3 linked regions of the Oryctolagus cuniculus genome follow. The protein of the gene in region 2 interacts with the protein of the main gene of each other region in a biochemical or structural test. Links are inferred from orthologs where the notes say so. Each region holds a gene or a part of one and is shown on either strand. Other genes may lie near its edges.

Region 1 (3,743 bases), on a different chromosome or scaffold from region 2:
CTCTCCCTCTCCGCAGAGAAGAACTGCCGTCACCTGTCCTTGATTTCCTGACTCTGCCTGAACAGAGTAGCCACCTCTGAAATCCGTTACTGCTCAGTGTGCTCAGTGTGGCGATCATGGGAGCCAGTGGTCGTCCCAAGGCAGCGGTGGAAGAAGAAACAGGAAGGAAATGAAACAGGAAGAGAGATCTGTAGCTCGTGAGGGTGACATCATCAATAATTTCCTCAAGTGTCACTGAGCTTCATGGCATATGACTGACAGCCTTTGTGGACAAACTACAGGCTCACTGTACTCAAGTAGCCCCTGTGGCTCCGAAGCCTGTAATCTAAGGGTATGAATATGATTTGTTCTTGGAAAAAAAAATAAAAAGGCCAGGTGCACTGATGCCTGCTGGGAACCTGTTCTGGGCAAGCGCGTCCCACTAATCTTCAGGAACACAATGTGTAGACACCTGAAGTGCTTCTAGATGCACAAAGTGTTTTCACACATGGCGTCTCACTTGACCCTCACCAACTACCAACTCCAAGGGGTGGGTGGCACCGCACCGCTCAACAGGCAAAGACAGTCTTAGAAAAAGGTGTCTTCTGATTCGTTAAGTAAATCCTCCTGACATTTGCAGTGCAGAATCTCAGTTGTGGCTCAGTGAGAGATCTCTGAAGACACACCAGCCTCAGCAGGTTTCACCCCGCGGGTGGGACGGAGGGGCCCCAGCGCGGCAGCACGGGGCGCGAGCTCTCCTCCGTCAGGAGAGCGAGTCCTGCCTCGTTAACAACAGTGGTAGTACCACCAGCGTGCCTCTGTAACACCCCCATGCTGGAAGGTCAGATGTGGCAGCTGCCTGGGATGGGACAAAACCAGAAATCTTGGTCTCAAAATTCTACTGGTGAAGTCACCCTTTGGAAGGGCTTAGGCGACACCCTAGGGAAAGTACTAAGTTAGAGGGAGCTAACTGTCCCCTCTACGCCCACTCTGATACCAACAAACACACCCTCCAGGGGTATTTTGTTTTTTTGTTTGTTTGTTTGTTTAGTTTTTTCAAAAACACGGAGAAAAGGTAACCTGTCGCTTTAATATGTAAGCCCACCTCCCAAAACACTCTCCCAGTCTCTTTATCTTCGACCTCCACCCTTGACAAGCTGATGGAGAGGTATAATGGAGTCCTATCTTTACAGTCATTTACTACCTTATTTATGTATTTATGATTCTCTGCTGCCTTCCAGCCTGAGTCTTCACTGTCTTGGGAACAAAACACTACACCAATCACCCAGCCTAGGGTAAGAAGAGGCAGGTCAGAACCTCCCACGGAGACTGCAGGCACCCGGTCTCCCTGAGCCTGTCCAGGGTTTGGTATTTCAGGTCATTCTCGGGTCGCTCCGTTTTGATGAGTAATGTTAAACTGTTTGACTTTTCACAAAAATATTTAGCCATGCTTATTTACATCACTTCATCCGCAGCGCACGCAGCAGGCACGTAAGTGTTGAGCACAATGCCTCGCGGAAGGAGGGTCTGGGACCTCCTTCTCCCAACGCGTGAGGAGTCCACAACCCGCTCTGCCTCCGTGCATGCCTTTGTGACCTGAAGCCATGCAGCTCCTCTGTTTAAAAACAAGATGACACAAACGCACACACAGTCAACTGCGCAAAGGGGCGATTCCAGGATCACCAAGAACCCACCATTCCCCTAAGTCTCACTCACACACACACACACAGTTTCATTTAATATCTTTAATACCGGTCACAGCACAGCAGAGACTTCAGGGACTGACTGCGTACCCCACTCCTGCCAGTCACCCAGGAAAAGCAAGGACAAAGAGCACTGAGAATCTAAAGCCACCACACCTTGGACACCCATCCCTTGGCAGCGGTGGTCCAGGGGCTATGCCAGCCCAGAGAGAAGTGGCACGGACAAGAAGGATGACAGCTCTGGGACGATGCTGTCTGCCACTGGGCGACTCCCCGGATCATCAGTAAGCCATTCTCATTGTGCAACTTTAATACAGAGAAACTGGGTGTGATTAGCAAACATATTCTTATCCGTTTCTGCATTTTTAAAGACCTCATTTGTGCAAGGCTCCACCCTAGAAGTTTTCTCCTCGCTTATCACACGGACAACCTGCTCCCTCTCCTTTGCAGTCGCAAGAAAGAAAGAGAGAGAGAGAGAGAGAGAGAGAGAGAGAGAGAGAAAGAGAAAGAAAGAAAGAAAGAAAGAAAGAAAGAAAGAAAGAAAGAAAGAAAGAAAGAAAGAAAGAAAGATCCCCCGAAGCCGGGAAACGCAAGCAGCAGTGGTCTCAGGTCTGTTGGTTCTGCCCCCAAGGCCTCCCCCGCAAGGCCCTCGGGGCGGTCGGGGAGAAAACACCGGCGGCACGGCGCCGGCGAAGCCCGCACCTCCCCGGGCCCCCGACGGCGCGGACCCCAGGGCTCACCTGACCACGTTGGGGTGCTCGAAGGTCTCCAGGTGCCTCAGCACCGCCACCTCGCGGATGGTGGAGAGCGGCATGCCTTCCTCGCCCGTCTGCACCCGCACGCGCTTCAGCGCTACGAACCGGCCTCCGTTCTTGAGGTCGCGGGCCTTGAACACCTTCCCGTAGGCGCCCTCCCCGATCTCCGCCACGCACTCGTACTGCTGGTCGGCGCGGCTCAGGCCGTCCTTCTCCATGCCGCCTGCACGCCGCGGCTCCCCGGAGCTCGGTCCCGCTCTCCTCGGCCCCGCCGGCTCCGGCGCGGGCTGGCGCAACCCTGGTGCCGCCGCGGCGAAACTCCGCCTGCCGAGCCGCCGGGGAGCGAGCCGAGCCCTCCTCTTCCCTCCCCGAAGCGAAGTCCTCCGCACCGACACCGAGGCGATCACATAGTCTCCACCCGAGCGCGTCTCGGTCCGGGGTCTTTGCGACTGAAACGGGGGACAGGAGAGAGGACGACAAGTCAGACCGCCCGGGAGCCTTCCTCGGGGTTCCTGCAGCCTCCCCTCCTCCACGGCGCCCCCACGCGCGCCCGGCCCTCTCCCGCGCCGCCCAAGCCTGCCTGGCTCCTCCCGAGCAAAGCGAGGTCACTTTCTCTCCCCGCAGGGCTGCAGCCGTCTGCGCGCGGCGAGGCTGCAGGGGCCCCTCGGGGATGAGCGCGCCGCGCGGGACGCAGGGCAACGGGAGGGGGCGTGCCGAGCGGCCCGGAGTGTGCCGGGAGCGCGGGGGAGGGGAGGCGCCGGGCGCGTCAATGTCACGGCTCCGCGCGGATCCCTCGCGCGCCGCGCCGCCCGGGGGCCTGGACGCGGGTGGGGGCTCCCGGGACCCCGGAGCCCGCGGCCGGGCAGGGTGCGAGAAGGGGTCGTCACGCATCTGCTCGGAAATTGCTTCCTTTCTTTTTCTACTTTCAGTTTTTCTAAGGGGGAGACCTTTAAAGACGCGGCGCACACGTACGTGGTCTCGCCGGGGGCCGAGGCGCCTCGGCCGGGAACGCAATCCTGCCTCCGACTCCGAGGGACCTCCCTGGTGGAAACCCCGGGAGAATCAGCCATCTGGTCGGGGCGGGCTGGGCTGCGCCGGGGTGGGCGAGCCGGAGGCCCTGGAAGGGGCAGCCCCACGTGGGATGCCGAGGGTGGGGGCGAGGGGCGTCCGCCTCCGGGACTCAGCGCGGGGAGGAAGACACCAGGACCGCCGACTCGCCCCGAAGTTTCCAGCCCAGGTCAACCTGAGCCGAACGCTACCTCCCCAGAGGGTGGTGGGGGCGGGGGGCGTCGACGCTGCGCCTCCC
Region 2 (3,743 bases):
GGCCCAGCCCGGGAGAGGCCAGGAGGGGCCCCCGCAGTCCAGGCTCCTTGAGGACACGGGGAGGGGTGGAGGTGGGTGGGGGCGGGCAGCCCGGCCGCAGAGGCAGAGCCGGCTGGGCACGCAGTGGTCACGGCTGCCAGGCGCGCCCAGCGCAGCACAGGGGGCCGTCGCTGGAAGAGGCCCCCCCCCGCCCCCAGGCAGGCTGGGAGAGCAGGCAGGCGGGGAGACCCCGGGGCCACCTCCCCTGGGCGGCGCGCGGTGGTGGGGCGCGAGGCCCTGGCCGGGGCGCCCCACCTGTGGCGCACAGGGCGACGAAGGTCTGCGCGTGCTTGCGGATGATCTGCTTGTTCTCTTCGGCTTCCGGCATTTTGGAGAGGAAGTGCTCGATGAAGTCGTGGGGGGTCATCGCGGCCAGGTTCCACTTGAGCTTGTTCACCAGGAGCAGTTCCATTTGCTGCGGGAGCGGGCGAAAGGCGCAGCGCGCGTCAGGAGCCGCACGCGCAGGGGTCTGCCCTCCGCGGGTTGGGGGGGGCCCTGGGGAGGAGGGCGGAACAGGGAGGGGCGCGCCCAGGGAATGCGGGGCGCGGTGGGGGAGAGGAACCCGCACACGGTCCCTGATCCAGACGGGAGGAGGCGACCGCGAGGCGACCTTGTGCAGGCAAGGACAAAAAAAGGCCACCTTCCGCCACCTGGAGCCCGAAGGCCGTCCGGGCTCGCGCCGCTAGGGGGCGCGCGCCGCCCACGCTTGCCCGGCCACGCCGCTGCCGGGCGAAAACTTGGTGGGAGCCGCGGACCGCGAGCGGCGGGCGCCGGCGAGGGCCGCCCCCAGCCCCGGCCCCGGCCCCGGCCCGGCCGCCCGCGCCTCTCCTCCCCGCGCCCGCCCAGCGGGGATCCCGCGGCCCGCAGGGCGCCCCCCGGGTACCAGCAGCTCGTCCGGCCGGATGGAGTTGTCGGTGTAAATGCACAGCTTTTCGGCGGTCAGCGGGATGGTCTCTTTCATCTTGGAGGCCACGAACATGCAGGTGGCCCCCAGAAGCTGCAGGCGGCTCTTCTTCAGGGGCTCCAGCGACAGGAAGCGGTCCAGGTAGTTCATGGCCAGCGGGAAGACCTCCTCCTCGCACTTCTGCTCCTCGCAGACCTGCGGGAAGACGCGGGGCCGTGACCGCCGCCCGCGCCCCGCGCCAGGGTCTCCGTGCCCGAGGGCGCCGGGCCAGGGGCCGGCGAGGGCTTCCCGGGGTGCGCTCGCCGCCACGCGCGTGCCTGGGGCCCACCCACCCCGAAACTGAAAGGGAAAGTCCCCGCGCGACCGGCGCGGACGCACGACCCCCAGGACCCCGGCCCGCGCGGGGTATCCGGGGCCGGCACCCGCTGGGGTTCGGGGGCTGGGGGCGGGCAGGGGGCCGGGGGCCTGGGGCCGCGGTGGCCCGGCGCAGCGCTCGCCCCGCGCCCGCGAGACACAAAGGTGGCGTCCCAGGCCGCCGCGCCGCATTTCCCCAGACGTCATCTTTTCAAAAAATATTTAAAAATATTAAAAAAATAACTGGGCGCGCAGAAGACCCCTGAAAATGACCCTCGGGCGGTGCTCTACCTGGGCCGGGGGCCGGGAGCCCGCGGCAGGCCCCGGGGGGAGCCCCAGGAACTCAAACTCGGGGACCCCCCCCTTCGCCTCGGGCGCAAGGGCACTGCGCCGAGCTGCGAGAAGCGGCTCAAAGACGCCCGCGCGCCCCTCGGGCCTGAGCACGCGCCCCAGGCCCCCGGCCCGCCCCGGGACGACCCCCGGAGCCGAGCCCCCCGGCGCCTCGGGGGCCACGCGACCTTGCAGCCCGGCGCGCCGCGTGGCCCACGCCGCCCATGTGGGGTGTCCCGGCGCCCGCCGCGGGGACAAAGGGGCTCCCCGGATTCCCGAGCCGGGTCCCTCGGAGCGGCCCGCGCCGCGGCCCCGCGCCCCTCCCGCAGGCTCCGGGCGGCCGTGCGGACCCTCGCGGCGGTCCCTCCGCGCCCCGCCGGCCGCTCCCCGCCCCCAATGATTAATAAACGCGTTAGCTTTGCAATAAAAGAGCAAAGATGGCGCGTAACACTGGCACGAGCGGCACTTGCATACGTGTCCGTGGGCATTCACCTAAAGATCCGACCCGCGCCCCCTCCCCCCGGGCCCGCGCAGGGCGCCCGGGCTGCACCCCGCACCCGCCGCGGTGGCCCCCGGCGCCGCCCCTCCCCCTGCGCCTGCAGAGGGGCGCGCTCCGGGCCGCCCCAGCCCCCACGCGCCCCTGCCCGGGTCGGAAGTTGCCCGCTCTCGGGGTTATTTATTCGGAAAACACGGATTCCGTAGCAGCGGCGCGGCCGGCACCTCCAGCATCCAGGTGGCCACGATCTTGCGCATGGACGGCAGGATCTCCTTCTGCACGCACTTGAAGTAGGACACGGAGGGCGCGCAGGTCTCCTCCGCCTTGAGCATGGCGCGCAGCACCCGGTCGTTGAGCAGGTTGGCGTCGGGGTAGGCGCGGCGCACGGCCTCCACCTCGGAGCACAGGAGCTGGTGCTCCATGGCCGGCCCGGCGGCGGGGTGCTGGGTGCGCGCTGGGCTCCGGCCGCCCGTCCGCTGCCGCGCCGACAGCGCTGTGCAGGCGCCGGGACTTTGCAACTTCCACAAAACTCCCCAGCAGCCCGAGTGACGCGACCGCTGTTCAGCGGAGATCAAAGCCGGGCAGAGAATGGGGGCGGGGGGCGGGGCGCGCGCGGGGGCGGGCGCGCGAGGGGCCGAGCCCGGGAGCCGTCCCGGAGCCGAGTGCTCATAGACATGCAAATCGCACCCCGCCGCCCGCCGGGGAAGCGGGGCGCAGGGCGGGGGCGGGGGTGGCCCCCGAGACCGGCGGGGTGGGGCGGGCGGCCACCCGCGTGGAGGGGGCAGCGCCACGAGGGCACCCCCGGGAGGCGCTCGCATCCCCTTTCATTTTCAGGAACACGTGTAGAATCGGGGCCCCGCGCGCTGGCGGGGACGCGGGGCGGCGCTGGTGCGGGGGGTCGGGGCCCACGCCCGTGGGGCGAGCCCCGCGCGCGGCAAGGGGACTGTGGCCCCTCACGCGTTCGCTCGGATAGTTAAAATACAGGCAGCCGCCCAAAATGGTGGCCGGCGCTGCCTCCGTCCCGCCCCTGGCGCCCGGGGCCGCCTCGTGTCCGCACCCGCCCGGCCTCGCGGGGGTCCCCCCGCACACCTCGCGCCCAGCACACGTGCGGCCACTGCGAGGCGGCCAAGCCACGATGCGGGTGCTGCTAACCGCCCCCCACCCCCCAGTTTTTTTAAATTAAAAAAATAATAAAAAAATCGCTGGGCACGGGAGTCGCTGATGCCGGGGACTACGTGCGACCCCCGGGCGCGCCCGCATCGGTTCTGGGGGCCCAGGGCGACCGGGGTGGGGGGGCTCGGAGTTTACCCTGGGGCCGCCTCCGTGGGCGACAGCGAGGAGTCGGCGCCACGAGGAGTCACGCGTCGGGCTATTTTGAAGCAGAAACCGGGCGTGCGTGGCCCCGGTCCCGCAGGGCAGAATGCATCACGCAGTGAGCGTAGTCTGTCCATTGGGCTCTTTGAGTTTTTTAAAAAGCTAAATGGACACTTTGCCCATTCTTGACTTTTTTAAAACTTTTTTTCTTTATTTTTAACAGCGCTTTCCTTAACTGGAGAAGCCCCGGGACTTCGGGGTGGCCCCGGGGGGATGGGCGCGGGCCGCGCCGGCCGCCGTTTCATT
Region 3 (3,743 bases), about 100 Mb from region 2:
GTCCCCTCCCCCATACACCCTTCAGCTGTCGCAGAGGACCAGAGAAGACAGCTGGGGGTCCTGGTTCAGAGGGAGCTGGGGAGGGGTGCTGGTGCTGGAGGCTCAGGAGAGGCCAGGCCGAGCCCCTCCCTAAACAGTCAGAACATTTCCACACTCCCTTTTACTCCTCAGTTGCAGGACTGTGCCCCCTGCTTCATAAAGAACTTTGGATTTCATGTCCTGCAAGCCACATACAATCAAAGAGGCAAGAAACTTTTCTGCCTTTTTTAGGGAGATTGGGGTGCATCTGCCCAGATTAATGTCAGGGTCCTCTCCTAAGCCCTCGTCAACCCAGGGTGCCACGCAGATGCCTGGTAGTGACATGCTGGTGGTCACTCTCCTCCAAGGACCTACAAAGAGTTAATGTCCCTGGGGCCCAGCCTAGGAAGATTCCAGTTCCTGCCCAGGCCCAAGATAGTTGCTGGCCAGATGCCCCTGGCATGCAAGACTGGAGAGGAGGAGGAGGGGCACACCACGCGCCTGCTTGGGATTCCTGACTGTGTCCCAGCTTCAGAGAACAGGGGAAGGGGGTGGGTGCCTTTGGGTGTGGACGGAAAGCCAGTGAAACAAGACCATGGCAAGTCACTGGCCAGCTCAGACGTGTTTGTGTTTCTCTTTTCTTAGCTCAGTGAGTACTGGGTATGTGTCACACTGCCAAATCCCCGATCACAAGTCTCCATGAACCAGCGGTGAGCTAGGATAATAAAACCCCTGACATCACCATTCCAGAAGCTTCAGAAGACTGCATATATAAGGGGCTGGCTGTAGCTGCGGCTGAAGGAGCTGACCCGCCAGCTGACCCCCGACACTCACCTAGCCACCATGGACATCGCTATCCACCACCCCTGGATCCGCCGCCCCTTCTTTCCTTTTCACTCGCCCAGCCGCCTCTTTGACCAGTTCTTCGGAGAGCACCTGTTGGAGTCTGATCTCTTCCCAACTTCTACTTCCCTGAGCCCCTTCTATCTTCGGCCACCCTCATTCCTGCGGGCACCCAGCTGGATTGACACTGGACTCTCAGAGGTGAGTCTCCTCTGCTTGAAACCTCCTTGAAACTCCCCTATTCATTTTCCTTTCCTTCCTTGCCTAAAAACCACTTTAGGCTCATGTGTGTCCATAAGTGAAGAAAAATGAGGTTACTGCCTCCCTCCTCTGGGCACCTGTTTCTGTTTGATACTTCTCTGTATCTTACTACATTTTCCCCTGAGCTGTGCATCCCTGATGCTCTCTCCTCTAACTTCTAAGCAAGATACCCGTTCCTGGTTTGGTTCAGAAAGATTTGAAGAGAAGGGAACTGCCTTCTAACGCTTTGCTCACCTCTTCTAATAATAGTTTGTACTCCTGAGAGACTTTATCATCTCAAGTTTCAGAGTCCTACCTCATCCTGAGCTTTTCATCCTCACTAGGGGGAACTGGCAACAACAACCACTATTTTTTCCTTTCCATTCCCTCTTTTTATTTATTTATTTTTGTTTTATTAAACGAATACAACTTCATGCAGTTAATATACGCAGATTTGAGATCTGTTCCCTCTTGTATGATTTTCCAAGTTCCTTGGGGTTCTGACAGAGCACTGGCCTGGGTCCAAGCCTTATGAGGGAAGAATAGGACCAGTCTTAGGACCCTCTCGCTTGTCCTAAGAGGGTGGGAGAATGCGGTGACTAGATAAGGTTGACAGGCACTGTCAAAGATAACACTGCGGTTTAAAAATATTCGAGTGTGGGTAAACAGGAGCTGAGTGGGCAAGGGCTTTGGAAGGGCAAGCAGAACATTCCAGATTGTATGGGTGGGACACTTGGCAGAGAACTGAGCAAGAAGAAGGGGCCTTTGTCTCATAGACAAATGACAAAGCAAGGCATTGGGGTCAAAGAGGCAGCAGAAGCCATGCCCAGACCCATCTTGTGATTGGTTCCCTGGGTGATCTTTCCTTATAAATAAAGTTTGGAATTGATGACTGATAGGCATGCCTTGGGTACCACTGTGGTATATTTAGCAGAAAAGAGGAGGATAAAATAGCTGTATAGAAAGCAAGTCTACAAAATGACGATACTGTACCAGTGTAATCAACATGCCTGTCACCTTTTCTCCCACCTCCCCCTTCCCTCATCTTGCTATTTCTAGATGCGCCTGGAGAAGGACAGGTTCTCTGTCAACCTGGATGTGAAGCACTTCTCCCCAGAGGAGCTCAAGGTCAAAGTGTTGGGTGATGTGATTGAGGTGCACGGCAAACATGAAGAGCGCCAGGTATGTAGCCTGCTTTTCCTTCTGCTCATTCATTCAGTGCATGTTGTCTACTGAATGATGCCAGACACTGCCATCAGCTTTTGAGGCTGGCGACATTCCTGTCCCAAAAAAATGAGCCTCTGAATCAGGGATAGCAAATCAATGGCTAGAAACTAAATTAGGGACTGAGCTGTTATTATTATTGCTGTTGTTGGCCAAAGCAGGGACCATGATTGTTTGTTTTGATTTGATTGGCTTAGATGGGATAAATTGGATGTTTGCTCCCCATTTAAGCCAGTGATTCTCAACCTTGGCCACATTAGAATCACTAGGAGAATGTTCACAAATCCAAATTCTCAGCTATGCCCTGAACGATTAAATAAAAATTTTTAGAGATAGGATGTAGGCAATACCATTTTTTTTTTTTCACTTCTAAAGACGATTGTAATCTACAGTCAAGCTGAAGGGCACTCATCTAAGTAGTTTTGTCAGACAACAAGTTGCTTTATGTAATTACATTAGCTACATATACCCTGAAGGCACTTGAATCCATAACTTTTCTTTTAGATGGTCCACTTCTCTTCAGGCTATCTTAATGCTACACTACTTGGTTTTCTGATGTTTCAAAGTTGTACTTGGTTCCCAATCTCTCGTAGTCCATGTGGAAATCAGTTAAATTGAGAGCCTTTTTGGAAAAATGCTGGAGATTGGGCAGGCATACAGGTCAGGGTCAGTTACTTTTACGAAATTCTGATGAATGGAACATATTCTCATGTCTTTGAACAGGTTTAATATCATTTCTCAACAATTAGTGATAATCCAAGGCTTCTGCATCAACTAATACAATTTAGCTTAATACAATCAGGTTGTTTCAGTTTTGCTCATATGACTTAAGTTTGGGTCACAGTCTCCCTGAATGGATGAAGTCACTTTTTTTTTCCCCTTAGGAGCAATCTTATTAGTCTGGAACATTCTGGGAATTGTTGAAGGGTCAGGACAATTTCTGGGCTCCTTCAGGGACTCAGTTGCCAGGACAAGATTCCAAATCCTATAGGCTCAGCCAAACTTTTGAAAAATATCCTTACACATCTATGCTTCAGGGTTAAAGTTCTGGTCTGTTTCAGACTCCTCACACTCTTATGGGTAGAAGTTACCACCTGGGCAACTTCATCTTTGCCCAAAACCTGAAATGAACTGCCCTTTATTTTTTCTCATGTTGTCAGTGGCCTTTAGACACACGTAAGGGTAATGGGGATGTCGGAGTTATAAGCAAGTGGGATTATTTCTTGTTCTTATATCTCTGCCTCTTTCCTCTTTTCTTGGATTAGGATGAACATGGTTTCATCTCCAGGGAGTTCCACAGGAAATACCGGATCCCAGCTGATGTGGACCCTCTCACCATTACTTCATCCCTGTCATCTGATGGGGTCCTCACTGTGAATGGACCAAGGAAGCAAGCCCCTGGCCCAGAGCGCACCATT

What was found.
Region 1: the proteins of CCND1 (region 2) and CDK6 form a complex in vitro, tested with the Homo sapiens proteins (3 studies listed by BioGRID and IntAct, with this or other methods). The link is inferred for Oryctolagus cuniculus from reciprocal best matches to the Homo sapiens genes CCND1 and CDK6.
Region 3: of the proteins of CCND1 (region 2) and CRYAB, one has a biochemical effect on the other in vitro, tested with the Homo sapiens proteins (2 studies listed by BioGRID, with this or other methods). The link is inferred for Oryctolagus cuniculus from reciprocal best matches to the Homo sapiens genes CCND1 and CRYAB.

Annotation. Positions count from the first base shown.
Region 1 is NC_091447.1:42,948,192-42,951,934, reverse strand, and holds the start of CDK6 (cyclin-dependent kinase 6), read right to left. Parts: upstream 2,656-3,743; coding exon 2,423-2,655; intron 377-2,422; exon of another isoform or gene 17-376; intron 1-16. UniProt on the Homo sapiens protein: Serine/threonine-protein kinase involved in the control of the cell cycle and differentiation; promotes G1/S transition. Phosphorylates pRB/RB1 and NPM1.
Region 2 is NC_091432.1:3,247,215-3,250,957, forward strand, and holds the start of CCND1 (G1/S-specific cyclin-D1), read right to left. Parts: upstream 2,694-3,743; 5' UTR 2,546-2,693; coding exon 2,348-2,545; intron 1,139-2,347; coding exon 923-1,138; intron 455-922; coding exon 295-454; intron 1-294. UniProt on the Homo sapiens protein: Regulatory component of the cyclin D1-CDK4 (DC) complex that phosphorylates and inhibits members of the retinoblastoma (RB) protein family including RB1 and regulates the cell-cycle during G(1)/S transition.
Region 3 is NC_091432.1:103,864,751-103,868,493, reverse strand, and holds the start of CRYAB (alpha-crystallin B chain), read left to right. Parts: upstream 1-841; 5' UTR 842-861; coding exon 862-1,062; intron 1,063-2,160; coding exon 2,161-2,283; intron 2,284-3,590; coding exon 3,591-3,743. UniProt on the Homo sapiens protein: May contribute to the transparency and refractive index of the lens. Has chaperone-like activity, preventing aggregation of various proteins under a wide range of stress conditions.